2 linked regions of the Rattus norvegicus genome follow. The protein of the gene in region 1 interacts with the protein of each later gene in a pairwise test. Links are inferred from orthologs where the notes say so. Each region holds a gene or a part of one and is shown in the gene's direction. Other genes may lie near its edges.

Evidence for each region. The genes of interacting proteins can lie anywhere in the genome.
Region 2: the proteins of Ptpn9 (region 1) and Rtn3 interact in binary tests that used the Homo sapiens proteins (3 or more experiments, as listed by UniProt). The two-hybrid records come from large-scale screens. The link is inferred for Rattus norvegicus from reciprocal best matches to the Homo sapiens genes PTPN9 and RTN3.

Annotation. Positions count from the first base shown.
Region 1 is NC_086026.1:66,286,447-66,290,780, forward strand, and holds the start of Ptpn9 (tyrosine-protein phosphatase non-receptor type 9), read left to right. Parts: upstream 1-1,476; 5' UTR 1,477-1,498; coding exon 1,499-1,561; intron 1,562-1,667; exon of another isoform or gene 1,668-4,334. UniProt on the Homo sapiens protein: Protein-tyrosine phosphatase that could participate in the transfer of hydrophobic ligands or in functions of the Golgi apparatus.
Region 2 is NC_086019.1:214,049,827-214,053,392, reverse strand, and holds part of Rtn3 (reticulon-3), read left to right. Parts: intron 1-2,321; coding exon 2,322-2,529; intron 2,530-3,566. UniProt on the Homo sapiens protein: May be involved in membrane trafficking in the early secretory pathway. Inhibits BACE1 activity and amyloid precursor protein processing. May induce caspase-8 cascade and apoptosis.

The DNA of each region.
Region 1 (4,334 bases):
CCTGTTTTTAAAAAAGTTCTCCAAGGGCTGGAGAGATGGCTCAGCGGTTAAGAGCCCTGACTGCTTCCAGAGGTCCTGAGTTCAATTCCCAGCAACCCCATGGTGGCTCACAACCATCTGTAATGAGATCTGATGCCCTCTTCTGGTGTGTCTGAAGACAGCTACAGTGTACTTACATATAATAAATAAATCTTAAAAGAAAAAAGTTCTCCAAGACGAGCATCAAAACTTACAGCATTTCTTTCCTCTGGTTCTTTCTCGGCTTCAGTCCTGGGAGACTAGCTGTGGCACTCCGGTTTGTTGAGATCCTTCTGGGATACTTAACTTTGGTCTAAAATAATGAAAAAAAATCACAGTAGGCCCTACCCTGCTTTCACAGTGTCCCTGAGAGATCCAAACTCTGCTGCCTTTACGCTAGAGTAAGATCAAGAGTTTGCAAAGGCTGTGGGCTTCCTGAATGAATTCTGATACAGGATGTCTCTCTCTCTCTTTTTTTCTTGTACCGGATTTAAATTAGCTACAATGATGCTGGGACTACAGGCTACATTCATTGCGCTAAGAAACCTGGCTCTTGCTTATCTGTCAAATCCTAGGCATCTGATCATCTTGGACCTCACAGGCAACCTTTAAGACACTACCATGAATAGGTGGAAGCTGCCCATGAATGCCAGGAAGAGCGCCGGTCCTCGCACAATTTGGGATTCTTTTAACTCACAGTCGCGTCTTCCTCCTGCTCCCGTAGGGGAGTTGCCTCTCAGCCCCCGCAGCCCCTCCCCCGCCGCTCCGCTCAGCCTCCCCTCCTCCCAGCTCCTCTCTGTCTCCCCCTCTCGGACAGCGTCCCGGTTCGGCCCGGCCCTCCCCGGCGCCTGTTTGTGAATGAGATGCTCAGTTTCTCAATGGAGCCGCGGGGGGCTCGGGCGGACTCGGCGCAGGCCGCAGCGCTGGCCCTGAGCCGGGAGGGGGACGCCTTTTCCTCGCTCGCTCGCGCCCGCCCTCCCTGTCGCCGCCTCGGCTTTTGAGGAACTGGGCCGCGAGGCCACCGAGCAGGTCGCAGGGCCCGCATCCCCGAGGACGCCCGGGCTGGGCGGTCTCGAGGCGCCGGCGAGCTCTGCCCCGGAGTGAAGCGGCTCGGAAGGCCGACGGCCTCACGCCAGGCGCCTTCGCGGTGGGCTGTAAAAGTTGTGGATTCCTTAAAAAAAAAGAAAAAAGCAAACAGACCGGGAGCTGCTGTTAGTTTCTCGCCCGCACTTTCTCCTCCTCAGGAGAGGAGGGGTGCTGTGAGGAAAGGAGTGAAGCAAATAGGCATTTCCTCTCCGCGGGAAGCGACAGCCGGTTCTCCGCGGCCAGCAGGAGCGGCGTTGGCAGCCGCCGCGGGCGCCGGGCGCTCGCACCATGCGCGAGCCGGCCGAGAGCTACTGAGGCGCCGGGCCGCAGAAGCGGAGCGCGAGTGTAGCGGGCTTGGGCGCTCGCCCACCAGACCTGCCTCGGCGGCGGCGGGATGGAGCCGGCGACCGCGCCCCGGCCGGACATGGCGCCGGAGCTGACCCCCGAGGAGGAGCAGGTAAGCGCCGCCGCAGCGGTGGGTGTGTCCGAGTCTCCGAGGCCTAGGCCGGCCTCTGTTAGCCCCGCTGTTCCCCTCGCTCCTGGCCCTCAGCGCTCTTGCTCACATTTCAGGCCTGCGGGCTGGCCTCCCCGGGCCGGAGACCGCGCCCCAGGCCGTCGCCCGCCCATCCCGGCAGCCGTGGGACCCCTGGCTTGGAGCTTCTTTGCCTGGAGACTTCCGGGGGTGGGGGGAGGGCTCCGTGCCGCTCCATTTCAATGAATATTAAAGTTCCTCGAACTGGGTTAGGCTCCCCACTGGATAATTGCAGGACAGCTTGCCCCAGGCCCTTCTACTCTTAGGACGCTTTTGCATTTTCTTTTCCTTGAGGGTCAGTTGTTTTCAAGGGCAAGGAAAGCCAATTGGGGGAGGATTCTTAGGTGGTTGTCTCCGTTCTCAAGCAGAGGGGAGGTAACGCTGGTAAAATAGGTGCCCCACATTCTCAAAGGAGCCCTTCAGGCTTTCAGACTGCTGTGACGGGCCTACTTGGACAGATCCTGAAAGATCTGTCCCCCTTTTAGCTCCGTAAGTCCCTGGCCTTGACCTCCCTATTTTGAATTCCCAGGCTAAGCTCTTCCCCTTGTCCCCATTTCCCTGCCCCCACCTCATCTGACAATCTCCATCTTTCTGAAGCCCACATTGGAGTTCCATTGTCCCTTTTTAAAGCTCGTGACCTTAAATTCCCCAAAAGGAGTAGCTTGCGTTATCATTTGAGGGGTTTCAGTAAAGGAGAAGCCTAGCACTCTTGTAACTTTCCACCCCCATATTCCAGCTGTGGAAACACGGACTAGATGAGATTAAGAACCCTACGGGTTGGGCTCTTGCTCTCCTTGGCACTGCTCTTATCCAAACGTAGGTTGTGCTTAAATATGGCCATAATCTGGTTGTACCTTAAAAAGATAAAATAAATGAAAGAGGAAAAGGTGAGGCGTGTTGGTAATAACCCATTTCACACTCTCTTGCCTTTGTTCAGAGGCCTACATTTGCTAGCGCAATCGGTTGGGAAGACAGTCTATTTTGACAAACTAACATTCGTTTAATTTTTTTTAAAGACCCTTTTTTATGGTTTATTTTTATTTTATTTGCATTGGTGTTTTTGCCTGCATATATGTCTGTGTGAGGGTGTCAAGTCACTTGGAACTGGATTATGGATAGCAGTGAGCTGCCATGTCAGTGCTCAGAATTGAACCCAGGTCCTCTGAAAGAGTAGCCAGTGCTCTCTCCAGCCCCAAGACCTGATTTTTAAAAAAGTCCTTGACTTTTCTTTTGTGGAAATGGAAATGGTGTTTTTGTTTGTTTGTGTTTGGCTCTAGATTATACTCTTATTAATTTTAGATAAACTCAGAATGGGTAAAAAATTTTAAAAGTACCATTTAAAAAATAATTACAAATAGTGGTAATATCTTGGGAACTGCAACAGGGTGTTTTCAAAATTCTAGTGAGACAGTGCAAGCAGGTAGCCAAGGAGCTCTGCCAGGACTGGGAAATGCCTCAGAACTAATATGTTAGATCGATTTTTCATTTTTTTAAATTTTTTGAGTTTAGCTAGACCAAGCTGGCCTCGAACTTACAAAGATCCGCCTGCCTCTGTCTCCTGAGTGCTGGGACTAGAAGTGTGTGCCGCTGACACCACTGCCATCACACCACAGGTTGATTTATTTTTACTTATTTATTGCTCATCAAGTGACTTCTTTTTAGCACATTATTTCCTTTCATTCCATTCCTCAAATGGTCTTAAGATGAGTATTTTTCTATTGCACAGTACATATACCACTTTATATTAAGTGGTGTACGTGTCAATTGCACAGTATATATACCACTTTATAGTGCCCCCTCTTCTCTTCAGTTCTGAGGATTGAATCCAGGACCAAATTGCCAGTGTTCAGAGCAATTTTTATTTACATTTTCTTTCACCTACGCGATTACAGGCTCATCGAGAGTGGGGCCTTGTCCTTCGTCTTTATAACACCTGCAAGTACATAATAATGAGGGCTAAAAATACTGTGTAGTGGGCTTGAGAGATGGCCCAGTGGTTAAGAGCACTGTCTGCTCTTCTAGAGGTCCTGAGTTCAAATCCCAGAAACCACATGGTGGCTCACAACCATCTGTAATGGGATCTGATGCCCTCTTCTGGTGTGTCTGAAGACAGCTACAGTGTACTCACATATATAGAATAAATTAAATTAAAAAATATTATGTAGTCACACAGGATATTCAGGAAAGGCTGAAAATTTAATATCCTTTTTGATATTTTCTTGCCATTCTTGATTTTAGAAAAAGAAAAAGATCTTTTTTTTTTTTTTTTTTTTAACAGTAAAAGCATTGTTTATCTTTAGGAAACCCAGAGACAGCCATTTTTTTTTTCATTTTATTCTTTAATGATCTTAATTGGCTTTATTATTGATTTTAGAATCAGACAAGTCATAAAATAAAGCAAATGTCCCTCTGAGGCGAGAAGAGTTTGGTTTGGTATTAAAGTGGAAGAAAGAAGAACCAAGAGCTAACAGTGGGTTGATCTTGTCAAGTTAACTGGTTTTTGTTTTTTGGTTTTAGTGTTTTGAGACAAGCTCTCACTCTGTCTTCCTATTAGATTTTGAAGTTATTATTAGATTTGTTTTAAAGGGACTTTTTCTGTCTTATTTCCCCATGAGGTCCATTGGATTTGAAGTGTCAAGGCCTCACCAAGGTGTTGTGTGCACAAACCCCTGTAGCCCCAGCGCTAAGCGGAAGAGGC
Region 2 (3,566 bases), on another chromosome or scaffold:
GCAAGGTCCTTACTACATCCCATAGTGAGAATCCAGCTCTGTATCCTGTCCCAGTCACCCCACTGCCAGTGGCCTAGGTTGTAAACCCAAACTTCAGAATCTGTACATTATCAGCTGAAAGATTGGGCAAATGGTGAATTCTGTTGTGACATTTTACACATGTATGTAATATAGTTTGATCAGATTCATACTCTATTAGCCCTTCTTGTTTCCCTTCCATTCATTGAAAGAGATATCCCAAGTAACACAAGTTTTGTGATCACATCTCTTCAAGAAGCTGTGTTAGCAGGGTGGTCAGAAGCCCAAGACCAACCTCAAAATTAAAAAGTGAAAAAAGTGGAAAGGTGAACATAGCTCTTCCTGGCACCACATATCCCAGGCAATTTGGCATGCACATCTAATCACAGCTGGCTCAGAAAGTGGAGATAGCCTTGAACTGCTGGCCCTCCTGCCTCCAACCCTCAGGGTCTGGGATTGCAGCTGTATACCACCACACCTAGCCAATTTGCTGTTTTAAAAGCAGTAATGGCAGTGCCCCCCACCCCCCAAAAAAAAGAATTATGGAGACAAAACTCTGCCTTCTTACTAGTTTGAACACCCATTCTAATGGCTTCACATTAAACTTCAATAGCCGCCCTGTTTATCACATTTTTCTCCTCTAACTCTACCAGAGAATCAGAAAGGTAAAAGTTTCCAAATGTTTTGCCACACCACCCCCCCTCTTTTTTTTTTTAGGTGTTTTGTAACTGAATATGCTTGGCAAATCTCTATATGTTGAGGAGCAGTATCAGGAAATGAAGGGAAGTTGTTCTCACACTGGCTCTGGGTTATGAGGTTGGCCTGTCACAGATTTGAAGAGCCTGTTATAAACAAGGTGGTGGTACGAGCTCCTAGAAGAGACAAAGCTGTAAGGTCATACAAAGTGGTGGAATACAGAGTGTGGGCAGGAAATAGGGCAGGCCAAGGCCTGAGTGAAGCAAGGACAAGCTGTGAGGTTGGAGGTATAGGACAGTTGCTCTTTATCTGCCATTCCCTAATACCCTTTTTCTGGCCTAGGGCCTTTCTGTACAGTTAGGCAGTTCATGTTCTGCAGTGCTCTAGGGGCACTAGTCACATGTGATTGAATAACAACTTTCCAGCAGGTGGCGGTAAAGTCCGTGAGGATACATGGCGTTTTTCAACTTGTGCAAGTATAGAAATCTATTTCCTTTCTTTGTAAAAACTTTTAGATTTATTAATTTTATTTATATAAGTGTTTAGCTATCTGTATGTATGTATGTATAAACCATGTGTGTGCCTGGTGCCCCTGGAGGCCAAAAGAGGTCTGTTACTCCCCTGGAACTGGAGTCACAGACAGTTGTGAGCCAATCTGTGGATGCTGGGAACTAAAATCAGCTGGAACTGCTGAGCCATCTCTCCAGCCCCCTATTGTTTACACTGGTAGTTTTTAATAATATAGATTGGCTTTCTGTAGGATATTTCTCCAGTTGAATTTGTCAAGTTATTTTCTCTTTCTAAAAAGGTACATATTTAGGGCTAGAATTCCATAGAAGCAGTATTGTCATATCCAGGGACATGTATCATCAGTTTGTTTGATTAGTTGGTGACATGAAACCTCTCTGCGTTCTATATTGAAACTACACTTATAGGCACATGAACTCTGGCATAGTATGTGCCTGAACTCTGACTGTAGGAATTACCCTGCTTAGTGCCAGCCCTCTTGCGTAAGTCTCCTGCTGTTCAGTTTTCCTGTATAGTCTCAGTTCAGTCCTGTGCACCTGAATGGTACCCAGTTTTCTCCCTGATTTGCAAAACCTCTACCTGAAACTCAGTTTCCCATCAGGAATCTTGAAACCTCTCCTTCCTATTAAGTCACATAAGTTTGTTGCATGTAGGTAATAATGTAGTCTGCCTGCGTTGGACCTGAAACAGCTTTAGGGGGACGGTGCCATTTTCTTCACTTTACAATGGAGAATGACTTAGAAAGGTGAAAAGTAGCACAGGTAGAAATGACCAAGACTCAGAGTTTCATCTTTCCAACTCTAGAGGCCTTGTCCATTTTTATAAGGCCAGACTGGGCAATTGAGCAAGACCCTGTCTTAAGAAAAAAATCAGTAGATATGTGTCACAGGCCTACAATCCCAATTCATAGGAGATCAGGAGTAGAGTGCAAGGTTGGGCTATAAAAAATAACCCATAATAACAAAACCAAAAAGAAAGAGGTGCCAGGATACTAGGGAGATAGATGGCCCAGTCAGTAAAACATAGCACAAGCAGGGTGGTCCTGGGTTCTCTAACTTCTGTTCCCTCTCTCTTGGCAGTGCATGATCTGATTTTCTGGCGAGATGTGAAGAAGACTGGGTTTGTCTTTGGCACCACGCTGATCATGCTGCTCTCTCTGGCAGCTTTCAGTGTTATCAGTGTGGTCTCTTACCTCATCCTGGCTCTACTCTCTGTCACCATCAGCTTCAGAGTCTACAAGTCTGTCATCCAAGCTGTGCAGAAGTCAGAAGAAGGACATCCATTCAAGTAAGTTTGCTGAGATTACACATGTCTGAAGTTCTAGCCTATCCCTTATAGCTGATTGATGGCAGAAGCATTCACTAAATACCTTGCAGTCACCCTGAGAAGTAATCAGGTTAGTATCTGAGAACTTGTTACTCACTACAGGCTCAGACTTAAGACTAAAGAGAGCTCTAAATCCAGAATAGGCACAGACTAGCTTGCCCAAGGCAGCCCTCAGTCAGCCACTATGTCCATGTTTCAGCCCTATGTAGTAACAGCTAGAAACCAGGAGTTTATTCTGTTTGTTCCAGGTTTTATTTCTGATTTTCTTTTGCTCTAGTGTAGTTTTCCTGGGACAGGGGAGCAGTTATTTTTAACCTTTAAATATTATTTATGTATATGGCTGTTTTGCCTGTATGTGTGTCTGTACAAGATATGTGTGGTGCTATTGCAGGCCAAGAGTGCATCTGATCCCTGGAGTACAGGTTATGAGCTTCCCTGTGGTTGCTGGGAGTTGAACTCTGATCTTATGGAAGAGAAACCGGTGATCTTAACTACTGAGCCAGTCCTAATCTGGAGGCAAATTTTAATGCCTTTCTGGTTGAACTCTGACTTTAACAAATGCTTCCTCATGTTTGTGCTGTTGAAATTTTTTGCCCATAAAAAATTGTATTTGAGCTTTAGCTTTTAAAACTCCTTTGTCTCAGAGAAAGAGCTGCTGTGACCTCTCTAGAGTAGCCACTAGCTCCCTGCTAGGGCTTGTACTTTCTGTTGATAGAAATAGAAGGGATAACTTAAGTCAGATGTGCCCTTAGAATTATATTGTAAATTAATCTTAATGAGCCAGTAGTGTTGACTGAGTGAATACATTTTACAAGCTCAGATATCTTAATAATGGTCCCTCTCTGTATCATTTCTGTGAATTTATAAAAAAAAATTTTTGTTAAATCATATTAGTCCCAACATCTGGGGAGTGTTTTTGTTTGTTTTGTTGGGACAAGGTCTCAGTGTATCTCCCTAGCTGGCCTAGAGCTCACTGTGTTGATAAGGCTGGCTTACCT